2 linked regions of the Rhinolophus ferrumequinum genome follow. The protein of the gene in region 1 interacts with the protein of each later gene in a pairwise test. Links are inferred from orthologs where the notes say so. Each region holds a gene or a part of one and is shown in the gene's direction. Other genes may lie near its edges.

What was found.
Region 2: the proteins of NMI (region 1) and GCSH interact in binary tests that used the Homo sapiens proteins (3 or more experiments, as listed by UniProt). The two-hybrid records come from large-scale screens. The link is inferred for Rhinolophus ferrumequinum from reciprocal best matches to the Homo sapiens genes NMI and GCSH.

Annotation. Positions count from the first base shown.
Region 1 is NC_046291.1:69,052,695-69,063,987, forward strand, and holds the start of NMI (N-myc-interactor), read left to right. Parts: upstream 1-7,000; 5' UTR 7,001-7,043; intron 7,044-7,117; 5' UTR 7,118-7,308; intron 7,309-7,686; 5' UTR 7,687-7,779; exon of another isoform or gene 7,780-7,795; intron 7,796-10,427; 5' UTR 10,428-10,433; coding exon 10,434-10,517; intron 10,518-11,293. UniProt on the Homo sapiens protein: Acts as a signaling pathway regulator involved in innate immune system response.
Region 2 is NC_046298.1:27,235,507-27,246,262, reverse strand, and holds the start of GCSH (glycine cleavage system H protein, mitochondrial), read left to right. Parts: upstream 1-6,294; 5' UTR 6,295-6,398; coding exon 6,399-6,546; intron 6,547-8,879; exon of another isoform or gene 8,880-8,908; coding exon of another isoform or gene 8,909-8,963; intron 8,964-10,107; coding exon 10,108-10,187; intron 10,188-10,756. UniProt on the Homo sapiens protein: The glycine cleavage system catalyzes the degradation of glycine. The H protein (GCSH) shuttles the methylamine group of glycine from the P protein (GLDC) to the T protein (GCST).

The DNA of each region.
Region 1 (11,293 bases):
ATTTATAATTTCTCTGGAGGAGTTTAAGCACAGAGAGGGATAAATTACCTTTGGCTTTATGGATCCAATATCATCAAACTGCCCCATGCAGATATTATGTTATTAAAATGAGAGCTGTCTGTGAGATCATTCTATCTTGTTACATTGTATACTAGGGCAAACTAATTTAAATAAAGTGAAATGAATAATTAATGAAAGAAAAAATATTCCTTTCAAAATTCCCAGATACATTTGTCCTGTTCTTTTGTTCTAGCTGCTCGTTATTTCCTCTTTCCACATTTTTGCATCATTTTGACTTCTTTACCTTCATGGTTTATTCCTTCGTTTCCATTTCAGAGTTGCCATAATGGCAGCCTAGCTGCAGACAAGAAGCCATTGTTCTCTGTAGGAGACGGTGTGGAAGACAGGAACAGCTGGTGTGGAAGACAGGAACAGCTGTTGCTCTTTCTACCCCGGACACCTAGAAATGCCTTGTTTGACATCCGTGGACCCACCCACCAGGCTCATACACGGGTGGAAGTCCCCGTGCTCCCTGACTGAGCCAGGACAGTACAAGTACCTTTCCACTGGGATGACTATTTCTGGTCACTGTTTGCTCTTTTTTAGTGAACTGGTTAATCTGTAGCCTTTCTACTGAAAGTGCAGTCCAAGGAGCAGCACCACCATCAGGATCCCCTAACCATATTTGAAATGCAGAAACTCTGCCCTACACCTGTGGAGTCAGGATCTCCATGTTAACAAGAGCCCTAGCTGATGCATATGGACATTAAAGTTTGAGAAACACTGGCCTACAAGACACCCTTTGGTCCACAAACACATTTTCCCTTTCTAGTAACTGTGGCACACGTTGCAAGGGAAATCAAGAGCAATCATATACTATGCTGAGATATAGCTTAGTAGAAATTATGTCCCTACATACAACTAGGCTAAGACCAACTAGAAAACAAACTTAACTAAGAACAAAAAGGTGAGCTCTTTTGCCTGATATGTTTTTAATACTCTGAGTAGATCAGTGAACTTCCTTACTGCAACAATTTGACACCTCTTGTAGAGTACTATTCAAACCAGAGAAATAATCAGAAACAACTTATTCAAGCACCAACCCAAATCTTGCTTCTTGGCAATTTCTATCATTTCTTTCTCATACAGTCCTTCAGGTAAAAACAAACTACAAAATCGCAACTCAAAAAACAAAGATAGTCAAGCAAAATAAATTTCTTTTAATATTTCTCTAGCTGTGTTCAGTAGGCTTATGCATGTTCTCTTAACAGCTGAGCTCCCTAGAAGTTACATTGATTTATTGTCATGCGGGGCGGCCTGCGGGGTCTCTGGTCCCGCTCCCCACATAAGAACTCAGAATATGGTGAGGCCAAAAAGGAACACCCAGGGAGCCATAGATGGGGGAGTCATTACCACTATATTCTCACTGGCGGCATCCGCCTCTCTGCAATCCGCTCTTGCCAGCTCAGCCACCATCTGCTTGCTAGCCCCCATTTTCTGCTAGCGTAGCCACAGCAGTTATATTAGTGGCCAATGGCTCACTGGTTACAGCTGACGGCCAACTAGCCACAGCTGATGGCCATCCAATCACAGTTGATGGCTATTTACTACCTGAGTGAGCACCTTTCCACGTGAGGCCGAGAGCCTGGAAACTGCACTCCTGGCTCTGTCCCCACACTCCACCCCTACAGGGTCTCGCCTCACAATCTACACGACTAGCATCTTCCAAGAGGGGACCTGTGCGAGGAGCCTGGTGGTGAATGCAATATCCTAGACACAGCCAGGCTCTCTGGATACAGCCAGGGTTTCTCAGGGCACCACCAGTGCTTCTGGGCACAGCCAGACTTACTGGGCTCAGCCGGTGTTCTCAGGGCACTGCCACTCTCTCTGGGCACAGCCAGACTTCCTGGACTCAGCCAGGGTGTGGGGACGGAGCCCCAAAAAGCAGTTTCCAGGCTCTCGGCCTCACATAGAAAGGTGCTGGCTCAGGTAGTAAATGGCCATCGACTGTGATCAAATGGCCATCAGCTGTGGCTAGTTGGCCATCAGCTGTAACCAGTGAGCCATTAGCCATGAATATAACTGCCGTGGCTAGGCTAGCAGAAAATGGGGGCTAGCAAGGAGATGGTGGCTGAGCCTGCAAGCGGCGCAGTGAGGGTTGAGAATTGTGTTGCTCCTGGTTCCTGTGTCTCCAACCCAGCCGCCAGCGAGAATATAGTGGTGTGACTGCCCTACCTATGGCTCCGTGGGTGTTCCTTTTTGGCCTCACCATGTCCTGCGTTCTTATGTGGGGAGCGGGAGCTGAGACCCCGCAGGCCGTCCTGCATGACACATGGCGCAGCGAGCAGGGTCTCCCGTACGACACAGGGCTCTTAGGGCACTGCCACTCTCTCTGGGCACAGCCAGACTTCCTGGGCTCAGCCAAGGCCACTCAGGGCACCGCCACTCTCTCTGGGCACAGCCTGACTTCCTGGGCACAGCCAGGGCCTCTCAGGGTACCACCAGTCTTTCTGGGCATAGCCAGTCTTTCTCACATATTCTCCATGGCGGCTGGTGGAGACATGAAAGCAAACATCCGCCAGTTCCACTACATGGTGGTGTGTTCCCAAGCAAACAGTCAAGCGGTCCATTAAATTAGGGATAGAAGGCCATTCCCCATAGTCCACAGTCATTCGCCAGGACTGTGCGTTAGATGCTTTGCCCGATTATTTGTCCTTTGGGATTTTTGATGATAACAGAACCAGAATTTAATATTTTTATTAAATATTTTCCAACATTACAAGTCTACACTCTCTTTAAGCATTCTGAGAATCTCAAGGCTCTTTGAGCTTTTTCTCTCCTGTGATTGTTTTAAAGTTCAAGCCAAACAATTAGGTTTATCCTATCATCACTTCATCCAAAAAAAGCTCTGTCAGGAACAGCATTCAGTTTGCAATCAGACAAGGAAAGCAGGAAAAAATCAGCAATATTCTCAGATTTCCTTAAAATAATTTCCTTAATATAATATCGAGGTTTACTGCTTCATATCTTACAGGCTTGAATATTAAGGATCAATCTTTATTTTTGAACCTCTTGTTCATGAACAAAACACTCAATTGTCCCTTTTCTAGCATTGTCAAAGGCAGTGGCATCGTTCTCTAAACACTTTAACAAAACAGAATTTTCTGACTGATCAATTATGTTTACATGATAAATCGGTGGCTCAAGATTCAAGAAGATTCAAGAAGATAACATCCTTTATTCTTTCATTTTATTTTTATTATTTGGTCGAACTATTTCTAAATATTTGATCTATCATATTTTATTCACTTATACAAAGTTATTCGTATACACTAATGTAAAAACCTGTCCATTGGAACTATAATTTAATATATATAAATCTATCTATCTATCTATCTATCTATCTAGTCACAGGATGTGGAGTATAGCATAGGGAATGGAGTCAGTGGAATTGTAACAGCTATATACAATGTCAGAGGGGTAATAGATTGGGGGAGGGAGGTTATCACTTTGTGAGGGGTGTAACTATCTAACTATTACATTGTTTTGTACACCTGAAACTAATAATAATAATAAAAAGAAGTCAACATTTTTTAAAAACCCCAAAACCTGTCCATTGGGACCAGCACATTAGATGCCTACTCTTGTATCTAACCACTATGTATAGTCACTGTACTTGCAACTGTAGGTGAAACAAAAGAAATAAAAAATTGTCTTTGTCATCAAAGTACTTCTCTAGGTAGGAAGACAAAGCAGAAGAAGTGTGAGAGAGAAAAATGGAAAAAGTGTCTCACTAATGTAAAGATGGTAACAGCTACCATTTGTTGAGCACTTGCCATGGGTAAAGCACTGTGCTTAGCCCTTGACATATAACACGATCTCAGTCACAACAGCTCCATTTTACAGATGAGAATGCCGAGGGTGGGAAACTTTGGTAACTTGAAATTGGCATTCAAACCATCTGATATCAAAACCATGCTCTTAACTATGTAGTACTGAGTGGTACAGAGTATGAGATGGAGTACTATTTTCCTTTACTTTTTAAAAAGTCTGTTGTCTACTATATTATGTATTTTTTCCAGTTTTATTGAGATATAATTAGCATTTAACATTGTGTAAGTTTAAGGTGTACAACTTGTTGATTTGATACACTTATATATTACAAAATGATTACCACTACAGTGTTAGCTAACAACTTTATCACATCACATACTTACCATTTCTTTTTTTGGGGTGAGAACATTTAAGATCTACAACATTAGCAAGATTCCTTTACTTTTATATATTCCCATTGCAAACGTCTTGAAAACTAGAATGATGTTACAATGCAGGGCACATTTTAAGTGTTCCAACTTCCCCAAGAGGAACTGCAATGGAATCACCAAAATCTTAGCAACGGCAGTGTAAGCTTAGTGTCCAAGAACTTTCTTAAAAAAAGAGCAATAATACAATGGATTTCAGGTCGTTTTCTCATGGTTTGCACACCGACTAAACTCTTAATTCCTCTCAAGTTGTTTCATGCCTTTGCAATTTTTCACCTGAACTTTTGCATCAGTCTGCTTCCTCTAACTTTAAGACTCAACGCAGTCTTCACCTCTTTTGTGGAGGAATCTTTCCCTGAGAGAGAGCGGACTATTCTCTCCTTTGTGTTTTGCTACTGCTGGTATCCCACCTCTTCATAGCATACATTGTACTGTATGAAACACTGGTGTGTGTGTGTGTGTGTGTGTGTGTGTGTGTGTGAAATTATAGGGAAGTCTGGGAGGAGAGTTCGTTGCTTTCGGGTAGGGGAGATAAATGTGTAGCATATATGTATATATCTCATGTCATGGCAGTGTAGATTTACATAAGATGTCAAGGCATCTCATGTGCAACATAGTATTTATTGAGTGTGTTACAGACATTCCGTAAATAATAACTTTTATATTAGGAAATAATATATTATAGTGTAGTGTAGGAGAAGGTTTCCCTCTAACTTCTTAGGGTCTTGGCTGGGTCTGAAAATAAAACTGACAAAAACAGATAATAGGAGAAAAGCATACAAATATGTTTAATGTAAGCTTTACATGATATTGGAGCCTCCATAAGGAAATGAAGACCCAAAGGAACAGTTAGATCTGAGTATTTTATGCTGGGTTTGATGAGAGTGTACAGTCGTGGAGAAACATGATGGGTGCAGGTGTATGAGGTGAGTGTAGAAACTGGGGAAACAGCAAGACTTGTTTGTTTGAATTCTTCTCAGCGTCCATTTGTCTTTGGAGGTAAGAATGTACCTCTCACAGGAGGGTTTTATGACCTGTTTCAGAGGAGAGTGGGAGTGGTAGGGCAAAGGCCAGAATGACATTCTTCTCCTGTTTTCTCAAACTCCTTCAGCTTAAATTATTCAATGTGCTAAGAGGCACATTTTGGGGTGGCATGTCCAGAGCTCCATCATTCATAAAGCGTTCCTCAAATTGCCCCATTAGAAACTCTTCAAGATTTTAATAGCTGCTCCATGAAAAAAAATGGATTTAACGGTCAAAGTAGTTGGAATAAAGTTAAACTTTTTAATGTGTCTTGATTTTTCCTACAATACTTCTCAAAACTCTTAATGTGCGGATGTGCATTTGTGAATCCCCAGAAGTGAATCCAGTATGCACCGTTTCCCAATCCTATCTGGCGATAGATGTCCTTCTCTATTCACCACAGAACACAGTGTGGAGACAGATTTCATGGTCAAGAGTAAAGTATGATACCAATGTCATCATATGTTAATTGCTTGATTTTGGATCATCTCTTCAAGCCTTAGTGTCCCTATCTGCAAAGTATGGTAATACCTGTGTCTCATATTGTTGTTGGCAAAATAAAAAGGTTTACAAGATGCCCAGGAGCTCTCAGTAGGTGCTAGCGATTATAATTGTTAATGTCCAGGAGCTGACTATTACTCATCTTTAGAATCCCAGCGCTTTGCAGAGTACTGGATCTCAAGGTGAGATGAACTCAGGCTGTTGTTACACCTGGCCTGGTTTTAGCATGAAGGTGGCCCAAAGGGCTTCTTTCTCTACTACCAGCATCCTTCGCCCTTTAACAGGATCTGAGTCAATATTAGATATGTCCTGTTCTGGTCATGGTCCTGCTGCTTATATCCTTCTTATAAAAAACAAAAATAAGACAAAAGAAGAAACGAGGTTGAACTAGGTAACTTCTAGAGTTCATGCTCTTTGAAATTCTAAGGTAGAAGAGAAGTAATTCTCAAGTTGCAACAGATGGAGTTTTTGTACTTAACTGGACTAATGAGCACAACAGTCATCATACACCACTTGATTTTTTTGTTAGAAGAGCCACTTTAGATTCCCATCAATATTACTGATATGAAGGAATTTGACTTTTATCAGTTATTTTAGACCACTGTATCGGTTACTATATATGACTATATATCGGTTACTACATAGCTCTACAAATTAGAATTTATGCCTGGAAATTAATTTGGTACATTTACTTCCTGTCCTGTATAAGCAAGTGCAGCTGTGGGGTGGTTCTTTGTGTAGGATTAAGAAACACTGCAGTTCTTGAAATAAGCCAGATGGTTTTATTTTCAAAGGAAAGGATCACACCTAGTGAAGAATTTATTTACAAGCTTCACAACAAAATAAAAGATTAAAAGAAACTTTCAAGGGACATGGGTCATAGAAACCCACTGAACACCACAGCTTCCCAACTCCTGGGCCCAGAGGACATTGCAAAAGACACAGAAAAGTTGACCTTGTGCTGGCTGTAAACATTTGTAGATTAAGGTTATAATGACCAAGACATTACAATGAGAGTTATACAATCTGAATAGACTCCCGTTTTGACTTGGTTTCAATCCACTTTTCCAACAGTAGGTCCAGTAACATACACACACACAAGACTGGTTTTGAATGCATGTCCTAAAATTAGAGTTAATGGAAACTTCAGGAATACTTTTGGGATAGATACCCTCAAAACAAAAACGAAACAACGACGTTTTAAAAATCGAAAGTGAAAACTGTAACTTGTTAGCGATTAATCATTGGAGACACCAGGTCTGGTATTCCGAGCAATGGTTGGTTTTAAAGAGAATCACCATTTGAGCTGAGTTTTCTCTTTCTTTTTTAAGGACCCAACTGTTCATCTGAGCGACACCCACTCCGGATAAGGCAGCGCCAGCCTCGGGGACCCGCACGTTCCCGCCCCGCTCCCGGGCTCCGGGCGACTCGGCGGCGCTCCTCCCGCGCGCGGCCGCACCAAGTTTCCGGGAAGATCGGGCACTTTGGGCCCCGGGGCGCGGCGCTCGGCGGGCCGAGGCGGGTGAGTGGGGCCCCGTTTCCCGGTCGCCATCCCTGCCCCTAGTTGTCGGGGCTAGAGGCCGGGGGTTCGCAGGGAGCTGGGTTCCACGGGGGCGGAAATGGCGCGCGGAAGGACGGGCTCTGCGCCCCCCGCGCCCCTGCACTGCCCGCTGCCCGGGTCGCTGCGGCGACACTGCCGGCGCGGGGGCGCGCCTGCCCCCCGGCCACTGTGCCTTCTCGAGGCCGGGCCGGCCTCTGCCCCAGTCTTCTTAGTTTGCTTTGCTTCTTTGCGGAAACGGAAACTTAAAATGGTTTGCGTTTCCCCTCTGCTCATGCAGCGTCTCTAGAGATAGTTCTTAGAAAAACCGATTCCTTAAGGGATTTTTACTCTCCTTGGCAGGTGCAGTGTTTGGCAGTCGTGCCTTACTTTGAAGAATATGCAGGGAAAGTCTTGAAAGAGATATCCAAAGGAGAAGACGGTGTTTCCCTGTCTGTACGACGCACAGAAGGTTTTAAAAAACTATAAATGTGTATCACCATTTTACTAATCACCACCTTCTTCCTTTCCCTCGTTTCCTTCTTTTTGCTGCCAGGCATGCATATGGGAAAATTCGTTTCTATCATGCTGACACCACAATAATATGAGTATATCAGAAAAATAGGTAGTAGATGGGTGGAGGTGATTTGTATTGTTTTTTGTTTTGTTTGTTTCATTCGCTGGCATAACAAATTGCCAAGGATTTAGTGGCTTAAAAACCACATTTATTATCTTAAAATTCTGTAGGTTGGAAGACCTACCTGAGTCTCGGCTAAAATCAACTTGTCTACAGGGCTGCTTTCCCTCTGGGAGGCGACTGGGGTGAAATCTGTTTTCTTGCCTCCCGGTCCTCTCCCCTCCCCGCTTCTTTAGGCTGTCCACCTTCCTTGGCTCAGTGGTGTGCTTTCTCCATCTTCAAAGCCATTAAAGATTACATCTCCCTGACCATTCTTTTGTTAGCACATCTCACTCTGACTGGGGTCTCTTGCCTTCCTCTTTCACTTTAAAGGACCTTAGTGATTCCTTGGGCCACACTGATAATCCAAGATGATCTCGGTATTTTAAAGTCAGGTGATTGGCAACCTCAATTCAATCTACAACCTTAATTCTCCTTTATAGTGTAACCTAACATATTCACAGATTCTGGGGATTAGGATGTGGACATCTTTAAAGGGGCCACCCATCTGACAGCATCAAAGGAAGGCTATTACTGTACATCCCACTCATGCAAATAGGGAAAGTATCCAGATACTAAACATGCCATAAGAAGTTTGGGGGATATTTATAGAGTTAAATATATTGAGAGTCTTTATTATAAGCTTTTACGAATATTGACTTATAAAACAAATAATGTTGCAGTTTCTGCTTTCTGGAAATGTAATAAGAGAACTTCATGTGCCTGGGATGTCCTGAGCAGAATACCTGAGTCAAGATACTGCACAATTTTATAAATTTTGGGTGTTTTCAGTGTGTAAACTTGTATTGTGCTCTGAGTGGGTATAAGGAGGAGTGGACTTGGTCTCTGGCCTCAAGGTTGTGACCTTGGAAAATAACACAGGTACATAAATAACTAAAGCTCCTTTTGGGGAGATAAAAGAAGGAGAAGTAACGTCCTTTGGGGGAATCAGAAAAGGCTTCAAGAACTTGGGGGGGAAGTTTGGGATGGATCTTGAAGAACTCTAGGATTTCATTCGATGGAAATTAAGGAAAGAGGAGAAGAAGGATGTGACATTTTGAGAGGCAGAGGGAAAAGAGCCACCCTTTGAGGGCTCGGTGTGATTAAGGGACTTAATCCAGGAATCGTCTAAATAAGACTGGAAACTAAATTGGGTTAGACCGGGTAAAACCTTGGATGAATGCTGAATGGCATCATAAGGATTCTGCAGTTGTTGGTAGAATAGAGAGCTATGTGTAAGGCATATATCTTTTTATTTTGAAACCATCTAAAACTTACAGAAAAGTTGCAAGTACAATACAAGCAACTTTTTTTCCCAGTGAATTATTTGAAAATACATTTCCAACTTCATGACCCATTGCCCTAGAATTCTTGAGCATATATTTCCTACAAGAAAGGTGTTCAAAATCAGGGATTTAATATTGGTACATTACTGCCATCTAATTCTTGGATTCAATTCAAATTTTGCCAGTTGTCCCAATCATATCCTGTATAACAAAGGACCCAGTTCAGAATCATGCCTTGCATTTAGTTGTGATCTCTTTAGTCTCCTTCTGTGTAGAACAGTTTCTCAGTCTTTTCTTGGCTTTTATGAAGTTGACACTTTTGAAGAGAATAGGCCAGTCTGTGTAATGTTTCTTCATGTTTAGATTCAGATTATGCATCTTTGGCAGGAATATCATAGAAGTCATGCTGTGTTCTTAGTGCAGCCTATCAGATGGCACATGATTTATCTCCTTATTTACTTTGATTATTTCATGATAGTGGCGTCTGCTTGGCTTCTCCACTTTAAAGTTACTTTTTTCCCCTTTGAAATTAATCAGTTTTTTTGTATTTTGAAACTAAATGGTCCTTTCCTCACCAACATTTCAATTTATTTATTTACATCAGTTATTTCACTCAGTGGATTTAATCATTGCTGTCATTATTTACTCTTACAATTAATTTATTCCCATATTTTGGCCAGTGACAACCTCCTCAAGCTGGATCTTTTGTCCTTTTGACATGGCCTCATTATTCTTTGAGCACTTCCTTGCTTTCTGGCACCAAAAGATGCTTGTCTTGTACTTTTCCTGTCTCAGTCCTAGAAAAAGCTAGAAGACTAAAGTAATAGTCTTTTAAAAGGGAACATCATAATACGATTGAGATGTTAACTACAATGGGATGTTAATGCCCATTGTATTCTATTGGTGTGTTGAAAAGCAAAGGATTTTTTATAACCCTTTTATATATTTGTAGGTGTGAAATTATTGAATTATAGACTTTGTTTGCATATAAGCCACATGATAATAAAGACTTTGCTGACAGGAAAAAAGATGTAGCAAAGAAGAGATGTTTTGCTGAAAGGGTTTTAAAGGTTGTCATTTTTGCTTATTGAGTTTATGTGTATATGCTATTTTTAAAATATTAAACATGTTATGATAATTAGGGAATCATGGCAACTGGTGAAGACAAGGAAAAACAAGCTCTTAAGGCGGATTGGCATGATGACAAACCTAAGAAAGATGAACAATACCAGGTAAAAAGGAAAAATTAAAATTAATTTATATCTATTAGTTTTACAGTGAAGCATGTTTTTTATGTCTTTGCCCAACATTGCCTTGAATTTGGGAGGATATTAGGGTTTCCAAATTTTATTTTTACTTCCATCATTCAAGCCTTACAAGAAGAATCATATTACTACTTTGTCTTACAAGGCTTACAACATTAGCTACTTTTTCACTCCCTCATTTATTTGATTTGTACCTAGAAGTTAAGAGCTTACTGTGTTTCCCTGAAAATAAGACCTAGCCAGATAATCAGCTCTAATGCGTCTTTTGGAGCAAAAATTAATATAATTGCTGGTATTATATTATATTATATTACATCACATTATATTATTATATAAGACCTGGTCTTATATTAATGTTTGCTCCAAAAGACGCATTAGAGCTGATTGTCCGGCTAGGTCTTATTTTCGGAAACACAGTAGTTAACAATTATCTGATCAGACCAAAGAGGGAAGGGAGGCTCAGGTAGGTTAAACCATTTACCCAAGGCCATGTCTGGACTGTCAAAGCAGCTGTACTATGCGAATCAAAGCAAATTTTTAAAATTGCCCCAGAGTAATATACGTGCAATTTAAAAGTCATATTGTAGTCACAAATAACCAGGAAGGGAGTTGACAGAACACTGAACTTAGGTTCAGATCAGGGTGTCAATCCTTGCTTTACTGTAGAAATTTCTGTGATTTGATCAATGTGAAAGGTGGTTTCCTTGTTTGTATAATGGAGATAACAATATTTGGAAATGGTA
Region 2 (10,756 bases), on another chromosome or scaffold:
AACTGGCCCACAGTCTCAAATACGTATGATCTGGCCCTTTACAGAAAAAGTTTGTCGACTCCTGCTTAGAGCACAAAGCCTAAGTTCTAGGAAGGAACAATGGTGAGTTAGTTTTAGGTCATACATGACTGAATTCATTGACAGCCAGTGTGACTGTTGAACCATCACTGTCCCCACACTAGCCGTGCTTTATGATTCCTTACAATGACCTAGAATATACTTGATTCTTGACATCCACACACTGGTTTCTTGCTTAGACGGGTTATAAAACAATTGTACAGTCAGAGAGTTCTCTTTTTACATTAACTGTCAGAAAACACAAAAGAAATCTGCCACTTTTGATAAAAACCTGAGTATGGTTAAGTTTTCGGTATTATGTAAAACCCTCATTTGAATTGGATTAATCAAATAACCAAAGTTTGTGTTTATTTCAGAAACTTGTAAATTTTGTTTCCTTGTTGGAATCAACAAGCCATTTTATAGTCAGATCCTGAATTTTAAAAGTACTTTTTAAGACCAAATGATTTGCTTCATAATCTCCCTTTAATCCAGTGGTTCTCAGGCCTGGCTCCTCAGCAGAATCACCCAGGGAGATGATCACACCCTGATACCCAGGCCGTATCCCAGGCCTACTAAATCGGGATGTCTGGGAACACAGCCCCAGCACCAGTATTTTTCACGGTCCTCTGGTTATTCTAAAATGTAGCTGAGGTTGAGAACTGTGCTCTAATTAGAGCTAATTGCCACCATAACGGAGGGCTTACTTGGTTATCTCCACATATGTGAACAATCAAATGCCATGAGAGAAGGTTAGGTATTTTAAAAGAGGCAGGAAAAAGGTGCTGCAAGAGTCCAAGGACTTAGCAACCATCCACACCAGCAGCTCAAAAGGGAGGAAGGGGAGGAAGATTCTGGAGGGCAGGACATTAGGTAGAAGGATGGCTTTCAGTAGGGCATTATATATGCATATGAAACGCTTTTACAAACTTAAGATCACAGAATTTTGTTCTATAACCTGTTTCCCTTCATGTCAATAGATATGTATCTGTGCCATTTTTAATGAGACACCATTAAGATGGAATTGATGCAAAGGCATGAGAGGGGATTGAGGTACGGGGTGGGATAAGGGGAACAATCTAGAGTTTGGAATCACACACCTGGATTGCAATTATCATTCTTCTCCCATTAGTTATGCCACTAGCTCTGACCTCGTGCCACCCCTCTGTCCTTATCTGTGAAACGGAGATAGCATATTTCCTCATCCAGTGGTCTTAAAAGTCAAATGACACCATGCAACTAAAGTTCATTAGGCCCTCATTTAGCACAGCAACTGAATGGTTGCTTCCGTCCTTCCTTCAAATGTAAGGGTGATGGGTACATTCACTCAAACAGGAGGACGTGGGGGAGGGACCCCAAACTGGGAGGAGAGGCTCACAGAACTCCTTCACCTCCGTCCACTTGACCCTGGGAGGATTCCTCCCTTGGCATTCTTCCAGAGCTCTGCAGCCATTAGCCAAGACTGCTAGGTAAGCGGCCCCATGAAGTGTCATCTCCATCACCAGCCTATCCTGACTGTCATCCTCACGTCACCATCACCATCGTCCTCACTGTCACCTGCATCACCTCATCATCACTATTATATCCTCCTCCTCCTCCTCACCAATAGCATCACCCATTTACATCAGCAGCATCGTCATCCTCACTGTTACCATCACCGTCATTACCATGGGCACCATGATAAAACAAGGAAGAGAAAAATAGAAAATATCGGATTGGCTGTTGCCACATAGTCAGCCTTGTTTGGAGTGAGAAGGAAAAGGAAATAAGTGCAAATAGAGCCCCGAGTTGGCTTGGTGTTTGGCGATTGGCTGACTGGATAGACTGCATTTCTGGTCAAGGGGAGCATTTACAGGGACACAAAAGTTATGTAAGTTTTGTTTTGCTGACATGGCATTCCAAGCAGAAGTGGCTCCATCTTGGGCCTAGAAATTTATTTCAAGAAGTCATCTGGCAGCTTTGGTTTAAATTCTGAGAAACCACCAAACTGTTTTCCAAAGCAACTGCATAATCTCACATCCTAGCAGCAATGCATAAGGAGCTTAGTACATAAATCCCCAGCCACCTCTGATGGGGGTGGTGGAGGCATTCTGTCATTTCCATCAGAGGGAAGAAGGAACCGCCTTGGGATAAAGGTGAGCACATACCCTTGGGGTTCCCTGAAGGAGGTGAATCCCAATGCAAAAGCAACTCTAAACAGTGAAGCGACTTTGGCAGGGAACCAGTTGGACAATAAAACCGTGATTTCCCCTTAGAAAGAGAAGCCCCCAAAGAGAATGTTTCTATATGCATCTTGTAGTTCTTTCTCCCTCTGCAGCTGTCAGAGGAAGGAGAGATCGTCGATTTGCTGCTGATGAAAATACTCAGTTTCTTGGGCATTAACTGTAAAAGACAGGGGCCTGGAAGCAGCGGGGAGCAGCCTGAGTCAGAGGCCTGGCCCCCTCAACCTGCCCTAGCTGTGCCCCAGGTTTAAGCTGTTTGTCCACACAGGGTCATCTGTAGAGTAGGGGAGGCCAGAGCCTCGGGCCTACACTTAACCAGGAATTCTGTCATCTCTCCAGTCAAAGTTTTTCTGTGTCCATACATGAGTTACCAAACCTGGTGAGTAAAAAACTAACAAAAATATGTATATACATATGTACTAGTGCCACTACTGTGATAGACTGTTCAAATGTATTTCCTCTTAGAAATTAAACAAATATTGTCTGGAGTTCGAGAAAAAAAGTCTTCTCTACAGACTAATTATTTCATCTTCCTGGTTAGTCGGGGGTTGCCGTTGAATGATTTTAATTCAGGGTTTCTCAGACGGTCTGAGAAATGCTAATGGGTGTCATATTAGTTTGCTAGGGTAGGGTAGCTGGTACAAAGGACACAAACTGGGTAGCTTAAAATAACAGAAATTTATAGTCTCACGGTTCTGGAGGATAGACGCCCAAAAATCAAGCTGTCGACAGGGCTATGCTCCCTGGGAAAGCCCTATAGAGGAATCCTCTCTTCTAGCTTCTAGCACCTGCCAGCAATCCTTGGCATTCCTTGGCTTGCAGATGCATCACTCGAATCTCTGCCTTTTCTGTCAGATGGCTTTCTCCCCAGTATGTCTTTGTGTCTCTTCTCCTCTTCTTACAAGGACACTAGCCATATTGGATTAAGGACCCACCCTCATTCATTATTAACTCATCTTAATTGATTACATCTGCAACAATTTCTGTTTCCAAATTTGCTCACATTCTGAGGTACTGGGGGTTAGGACGTCAAGGTATCCTTTTTAGGGGACACAATTCAACCCATAACAGCTGTCGTCACCCCCCAAATGTTTCTACATCAAATAAATGTGGGCAACACTGGGTTATAAAAGGTCACGTAAATTCTTTAGCCGGGGGATTGTCAGAGCTTTTAATGTGCTGCATGTGCACTGTGCGTCTCCTGGGATGAGACAGCCCGAGCGACAAAGTGCGTAACGATTCCAAACCTCCTTGACCAAGGCGTCCAGTACTGCAGCACCTCGATCAGGGCTAGTCTTCCTTAGATGATACGTTGGGAATTGCTGATCTACACCAGCGGTTCTCAACCTTGACTGCATGCTAGCTAGAATCCCTAGACTTCATTCCAATAGAGCAGAATCTCTGGGCTGGGATCGAGGTGTCAATATATTGTAAGCCCCCCAGGTGACTCCAGTGTGCAGTCGGACTAGACACCGTAACCATGCTCTAGAACCACAGGTCTAGATAATAAAAGGCTCCCAGGCGTCTGTGTGGATGAGTACAAATTTCCTGTTCCTCACGCGGGGGAAGCACCTCATACATCCTCTCCAACTCACCTGTCTTCTCCTCCTCCTCACACACCCATTGTAGCAGACACTCCAGGTTGCCTGCTCCAAACCCGTTTCAGACTTTCCGCCTCGCTTTCAGAATCCCAACTTTTTTAGGTAGCCACCTACCCCTCCCATACAAGATCCTGTAACCACCTCAAGGTGAACCTGATTTGCCTTAGGAAAGGGAATTTATTTCCCTTGACAGTGAGCAGTTTAGTGTGCACATTACCCAGTGTGGCCAGTGAAAAATGAGGAGAGGTCTCCAGGACACTTCCAGGAAAGCTCTGCTTGCTAATAAAAAGAGACCCAAAGAGATGGGCTCTTATGCTGCTGGACATTGTCCGAGTAAGAGTCCCGAAACTTTGACAGCTACCTTGAGACCACAGGGAACAAGGAAGATGGCAGAGCAGAAAGATGAGAGGAACATGCATGCTTGATGAAGTCTTTAAACAGCTGACTTAATCAACCCTGAAGCTGAACAACTGCCAGCCCTTTATCTGGATGAGAGCTTAAATGTCTTTTGATGACAGTTGAATCAGTATCCCACCCTAGTACCCTGACAATCAAAACCCAAGATCCTTTATAGAGAGAGGCATATAACATGCAATGTACATAAAACCTTGGGGATTTCATCATCTTCTATCCACCCCAAACCCATAACCATTCCTTATTGTATCAGGTATGAACATGAGCTATACATGAAGAGATGCTCATAAACTAACCGACAGCAAGGTGTACACATGTCTCTGAATAGACTGGTACACAGACCTACCCAGAGGCATACAAAACAGTCTGTTTTAAACAGGGAAAGTTCTAAGATCTGGAGAGGTTGTAAATTATTCATTTCTTTTTCTCATCTTTCCCACCTAAACTCCACTTCTCTATTGACTGTAAATATCAAACTGGCAACTCCTTCCATCATGTTATGTATGGAGGAGAGACAGTTCCATGATGTGACTCCTGCCAAGGCCAGCTAGCTAGATCCAGACCACAAGAGATTGCTTCCCGTACTTCCCTCAAGAAACTATCTGAGCGACCCCCCGTGTTGGTTCCCGGAACAGGCCATTCCCCTGGTCCCAGCAAGCATGAAAGGCGATTTCCCCTTCTGTGGGCAGGTCCTACCCAGTACCCTGATCTATCCTGCCCTGTTCTACGTAATTCTTTAGCACCGGCCATGCCCCATTCCACTACTGGACAAGTTAAACTATCTGTGCCTCCAGCTCCTCATGTACGAAATGAGTTTACCTACTAGAAAGGGGTTTGGAGAGGATTAAACAGATAATGTTTGCACATTCCCAGACCCATAGCAAGGGCTCATCAAATGGCTATTATTTACTCCCATGAAAATGGAGCATGACAGCTCTTGCAAGGCACTGCACAGATGTGCCAGCAATCCCGATTTTATGTGAGGCAGAAGCTCAGTGCAGCAACATATGAGCCTTCCAAACAAACGCACACACACACACTTCAAAGAACCCACTCTGTAATATTTGAGGTGTGGGGCTTGAGGTGCTTTTCACGCCAGTGTTTCTTTGCTGATTCACGCCCACTCCATAAAATCTGTGTTGAAGGTGAGGTCTTTTCCAGAACTTAATTATTTTTTGTCTTCTTGGATGGATATATGTCTTCTGCTTTTCCCAGAAGACCTTGGTCACGGGGCTGGTTGCACAAGCAAGAGCCTTGCTAGATCTCGACTCTGCTTTCTGATTGCTCCTGCATTAACTGACTGGCTCCAGTAGAGTCTACACCAAGGAGCCACTCCGGATTCTTGGGCAAATACTTGCCCCCTGTATGTTTTATGATTCCGTCTGTCCCGTTTGGGTACTCTGAGCCTTTTGGGATCTGTAAAGTAATAAAGTGGATTCTTGGATTGTTTTCCAAAAGTCAAAGAGAAACTGCATGTATCAGCGCGCCTTTGACCAATGCCCAACAACCATCTTCGGCTGGAATGATTTTGTTTGGACCTGGCTATGAATCCCCACTCTGGATGACCTTGATCCTCAGTAGGAGGGTAGGACGCATCCTTTAACAAGACTGGGAGAGGCCCGCATTACCCTGGCACAAAGGCACCGTAATGTACTGGCCCAGCAGAGCCATTCCAGCCTGCAGCACTTCTCACCCCTAGAGCCAGTCACGTAGAGCGAAGTTGATGACCTAGCGCTTCCACTTCACCTAAAGCGACGCCCGGAGACGTAGCCCCACCCCTACCCGGGAGGCACCACCCATCCATCCCTTCGGCTGCGCAGCCCGCCCCGGTCACTCCCTCCGCACTAGTCCCCGCCCCTCGACCGCTGTCCCTTTTCGGGTTCAAGCCGTTCCGCTTGCCCACGCCCCTCCTGCGCGTCGCCCAATCCGAGTCGCGCCCCCTCGCACGCTGCCGTATCAGGCCCCGCCCCGCCCGGGGCCCGCCCCTGCGCCCCGGCGCAGCCGGCTCGCTCCAGTCCAGGGCCGCCCCCGCCCCCGCTCCGCCTCGACCCCGACTGCGCTGTGGCGGAGGAGGTGCACCACGACCCTCTGCACTCCGGCGAACATGGCGCTGCGATCGGCGCGGAGCGTGCGGGCGGCGGCCTGCAGCCTGCGCGCCGCCTCGGCGCCCGTCGCGCCCTGCGCGCCGCGGCCCTGGGGCCTGAGGGTGGGCGCCGTCCGGACGCTGCGCACCGGCCCCAACTTGCTCTCGGGTAAGCGCGGGCGGGCACGTGGGGCGAGCAGAACGGCCTCGGGGCGTGGGGAGCTGGGACGCCTCCCTCCTGGCCTTGATCTTTACCTCAAGTCCTCGCTGCCTCTCGCCTCGGGTCAAGCGAGGCGACTCCTGCGCACGCTTGTTATTGCTGGGATCACTAGTTCCTTGGCTGCTGCTCCCCTCTCCAAGTGGCGTGGACGACACCGCAGCCTTTGTCCAGCGGGTTAGGGAGTAGGAGGGGGGGAGGAGGCCTGGAGCACACGCGCTGTCGCCGAGTCCCCGCTCGTTCTGGCGGGAGCGTCATCTGCTCGCTGCTGGAGAACTCGGCAAGCGTAGCCAAGCTCCTTCGTGACCTTAGGTTAGCTCGCATGTGTGGGCATCGTGGACCCTAAGAGTGGAGACAAATAATAGGCTTCAGTTTGCTCCACGGACCATCATTGATAACTCTGAAGTAAAATTAAGGCAAGAGCACAGTTTTTGAAATTAAAGCACAGGGTCTAGATTTTTACTAGCTAAAGCGAGCAAAACTTTGAAGACCCAGTTATTTCCTAAAAACAGTAAGATAAAGTCTTCTGGACTTTTTACAGAAGACGTTCTGCTCAAGTGTATGTTGAGTCATGGATGTGTGTTAGGATCGCAATGAGGCCCAATTGACATGGACTTGAAGTAACCGGGGGACCTGCCCGTAAATGTCTTGGCCGTCTGTGCCCTTCAGCAGTTATCTCGGCGGAAAAACCGTTGTCTTAACCTCGTGGGCAAATACTTGAGACACTAACCAACTGCACCACTAAGAACTCGGGCTTCTTAGGGAGCATAGTAGGTCTGTGATGGCTGTGGTCTCATCAAGTGTATTGTTTTAGAAACCTGTTTGGGCCTGGAAGAATTGGTAAATTTATTTATTCCAAAGTCTGATACAAAGATGCTCATTCCCCCACCTCGTAATTATAACCCCTCAGCTCTGTTGATGCCACATATCAGTACATTACCAATTTGAATATAAAGGAAAAGCATTACTCAGATGAGACTGAATTTCAAATCTTTGTTTTTTGATTATTCAGTGTTTGACTGTTTGTTACGTTTTTGCATTTTCAAACAGTTATCTAGTTAAATATTGCCCTAAATGTCAATACCCAAGATCTGGATAAACACCTAGGTTTTTAAAAACAGAAACCCGAGTTCCAATTTTGGTTACTTACACCTTTTATGAACTATGTGATCTTGGTAGAGTCACTTAACTTCTCAGTCTGTTTCCCTCCTCAGAAAAATGGAAATGGTAATGCTACCTCACAGTTGTTGGGAGGATGAAATGGTATAATAACTGTTACATATATCCTGACACATAGTATTGACAAATGTTACTTGTTATTAAATATTAGTGTATAGAATCAAATAAACAAATGGTTGACCAATATTAATATATTTTATCTGACTAATGATTTTGAAAGAAGTTCCAAATTTTTCACAAGTTACTCAAAATGCCTAATTTTCTGAGGTCAAAAGCTGTTCCTCAAGGCTCAGTAAGAAAGTAATTATTTACCTAATCTCCTGTCCACTTTTTTCTTGCTGGGCCAAGGGTTACAGGAGAATTATAGTAATTGTTGTCTTTAGCCTAAATAGCGTGACCTAGTAAAAAGACTTACTGGACTTTGAAGTCAACTGGCCCTCGGTATATTTCGCTTAGTAACGTTGCTAATGCTTCCTCTATACTTGCTCAGTTGCTAAATTGAATGTGAGAGTGATCTTAACTCCTAAGATTATCTTTACAATTAGGAAGATGGCAAGGCCAAAATCAGGACAATAGTCTAAGAAGTCACGTATTTTATAGTTCCCCAGCCCTTACTTTAGAAGATATATTAGATTAAAACTGCCAATTCTAGAGTTTTAAGGGCATGATAGAGAGAATTGAGTGTCGTAGACAAATAACTATGTATACTAGATATTTTTCTCAGAATCCCCTTAAATTTTAAAAAATTACTTCACTCCAACTTTTAAGTGCTTACTCTATGCCAAGCATTGTTTAGAACTGGGAATACAAATATGATAAGCTCTGCTTTTGCTTACTTTGTACTTATGGTCTACTTCCTGGGGAAAACTGACAAACAGGCTTTATCTGTAGCATGTTCAGTACTGTGAGTGTGTTTGGGGGTCAGGGAGGGAGGAGGCTGAATGGCTCAGGAGCCCAGAGTTGGAGGGCTGGACCAGTCTTCTGTCAGGAAGGAGCTTCTTAGGTGAGATAGGAAATAGTTAAGAAACGGCAAACAGCGTTAGTTAGAGTGTTGCAGTCAGAACACCAAGTACAAACCTTAACCTTTTTATGAAAAGATCAGATTGACTTGAAGCATTCAGTTATTTGAAGTGGAATGAAGCAAAGCAAATTTCCTTTGTGTCAGACTTTGCAACTTCTTCCACTGAAGAGTAAGAAATTAAAGTTTTTTACTGATTTGGGGAAAAGAAAGTAATAAGCTATACTCTAGTTCTGGTGGTATCAGATCTGTGAAACAAAGTAGTTTAGTGCTGTTTTAAGTACAACTATCTTTTGGGTAAGGGGAAGCGTGAACTAGCAAGGCTTACTTTAAAGCAGTACTGGAATTACTGAACCATTTTCCTATTAATTTCTGATGTATTATGTTCAGAAAAATACTTCACTTTGGAATGTAGTATCTATTTAAGAAGATAGCATATGCTTTTTTAAAATTTACTTATTCCTTAAAGCAAGTATTTTTAACATTAAATCTTAAATAAGTTTTTTTTTCACATCTCTTGAACTTTGGTCAGTCTTTCTCCCAGGAATCCTTGAATAGTTCGATCATGTCTTTGAAGAGAAGAAGCTCATAAAGCCAAGGGCTAATCTGTCCAATGAATGTTCGGCAGAGCTTGACTTTCCACTAGTTTTAATGCCTTAGCTGAGGTGACTGTTTAGTTCTGATCTTATAGTTTGCTTCTTTAAATGATGGTAGCATATTTCTTCCAGGGCAGGCTTGAAATCAATTAAAGGAGAATTTTAAGAACTTCATTGAAGTTATAATTGTTCCAGGTCAATTTTATGTAAGATTTCACTTTATAACCAAGTTGCAATGAAGCTCTGTTAGGTCAACTCTACTAAAGAGGCCCATTATTATTTTTTAGGTTAAATAATTTATGAGCAGCAGTCTCTGGGCTCCTCCCCAGACTGATCACTCCAAGTCTGTCTTCAGAGGGACAGACTTTTTTGCAAGACAGACTAGTAGTAGATAAGTATACATATTTGAAATGTCCTCCAAAATTTTGTGTGTATGATCCAGACTAAGTAATGTTAGAGCAAATAATCAAATCTCCAGAAGATGCACAGGGTATTCACATCAATCCATATTTGTCGAAGTGATACATACCACTGTTGAGAAGATGTGCCATCTTTTCACATGATCTGTTTTTTTTCCTGGGCAGTGTACGACTGAAAAGCAATGTCACTAAGTCAAACACAAATACTGGGAAAGTTTTGCCTTTTGACAGCATTGATACGAAAAATGCTTTTTAAGAAATGATGATACTGCTTTTCTGAAATATTGGTCTTCTATTTTAGTGCGTAAATTCACAGAGAAACATGAATGGATAACAACAGAAAATGGTATTGGAACAGTGGGAATCAGCAATTTTGCACAGGTATTGGATTGTCTCGAAATAGTTAAAAGAGTCTCCTCTCACCTAAATTGGATTGTCTCTACCTTTTAAAATTTGTTTATTCTGCCCTTAGTATTTTGGGCCCTTTGATGGCCCTTAGAAAAATATCAATCATAAGTTAAATAAGTAAAACATAATTTAGTTAGGGCAGTATTGTAAGAGACATTGAAAGGTTAACATTTAAAACTAAAAGTAGGAAAATCTTATTCAAGAAAGAAATATGTTTGTTTTGTATTGGGGCAGTTAAGCAGAAAAAGAGCAAGCAAAGGTATTGACGGTGTTTTGTAGATACAGAGATATACACATAACTAGGGGGACATGAAGAAGAGGGAAAACCTAGATTGGTACAAATTACACAGAGGGAGAACTTTTATTTAGCCTATCTTTTTCTCTCTTAATTCCCGTGCCCACTCATCCCATATTTGAGATATTGTGTAAAAGAAAACAAGAAGCCAAATAGCACAGGTCAGTGATTTTCAACTTGATCTGTGTGGAGGGTGAGGCAGGAGGGGGAAAGGGGATGTAACTGATGGAAGTATATAGAATTCCTG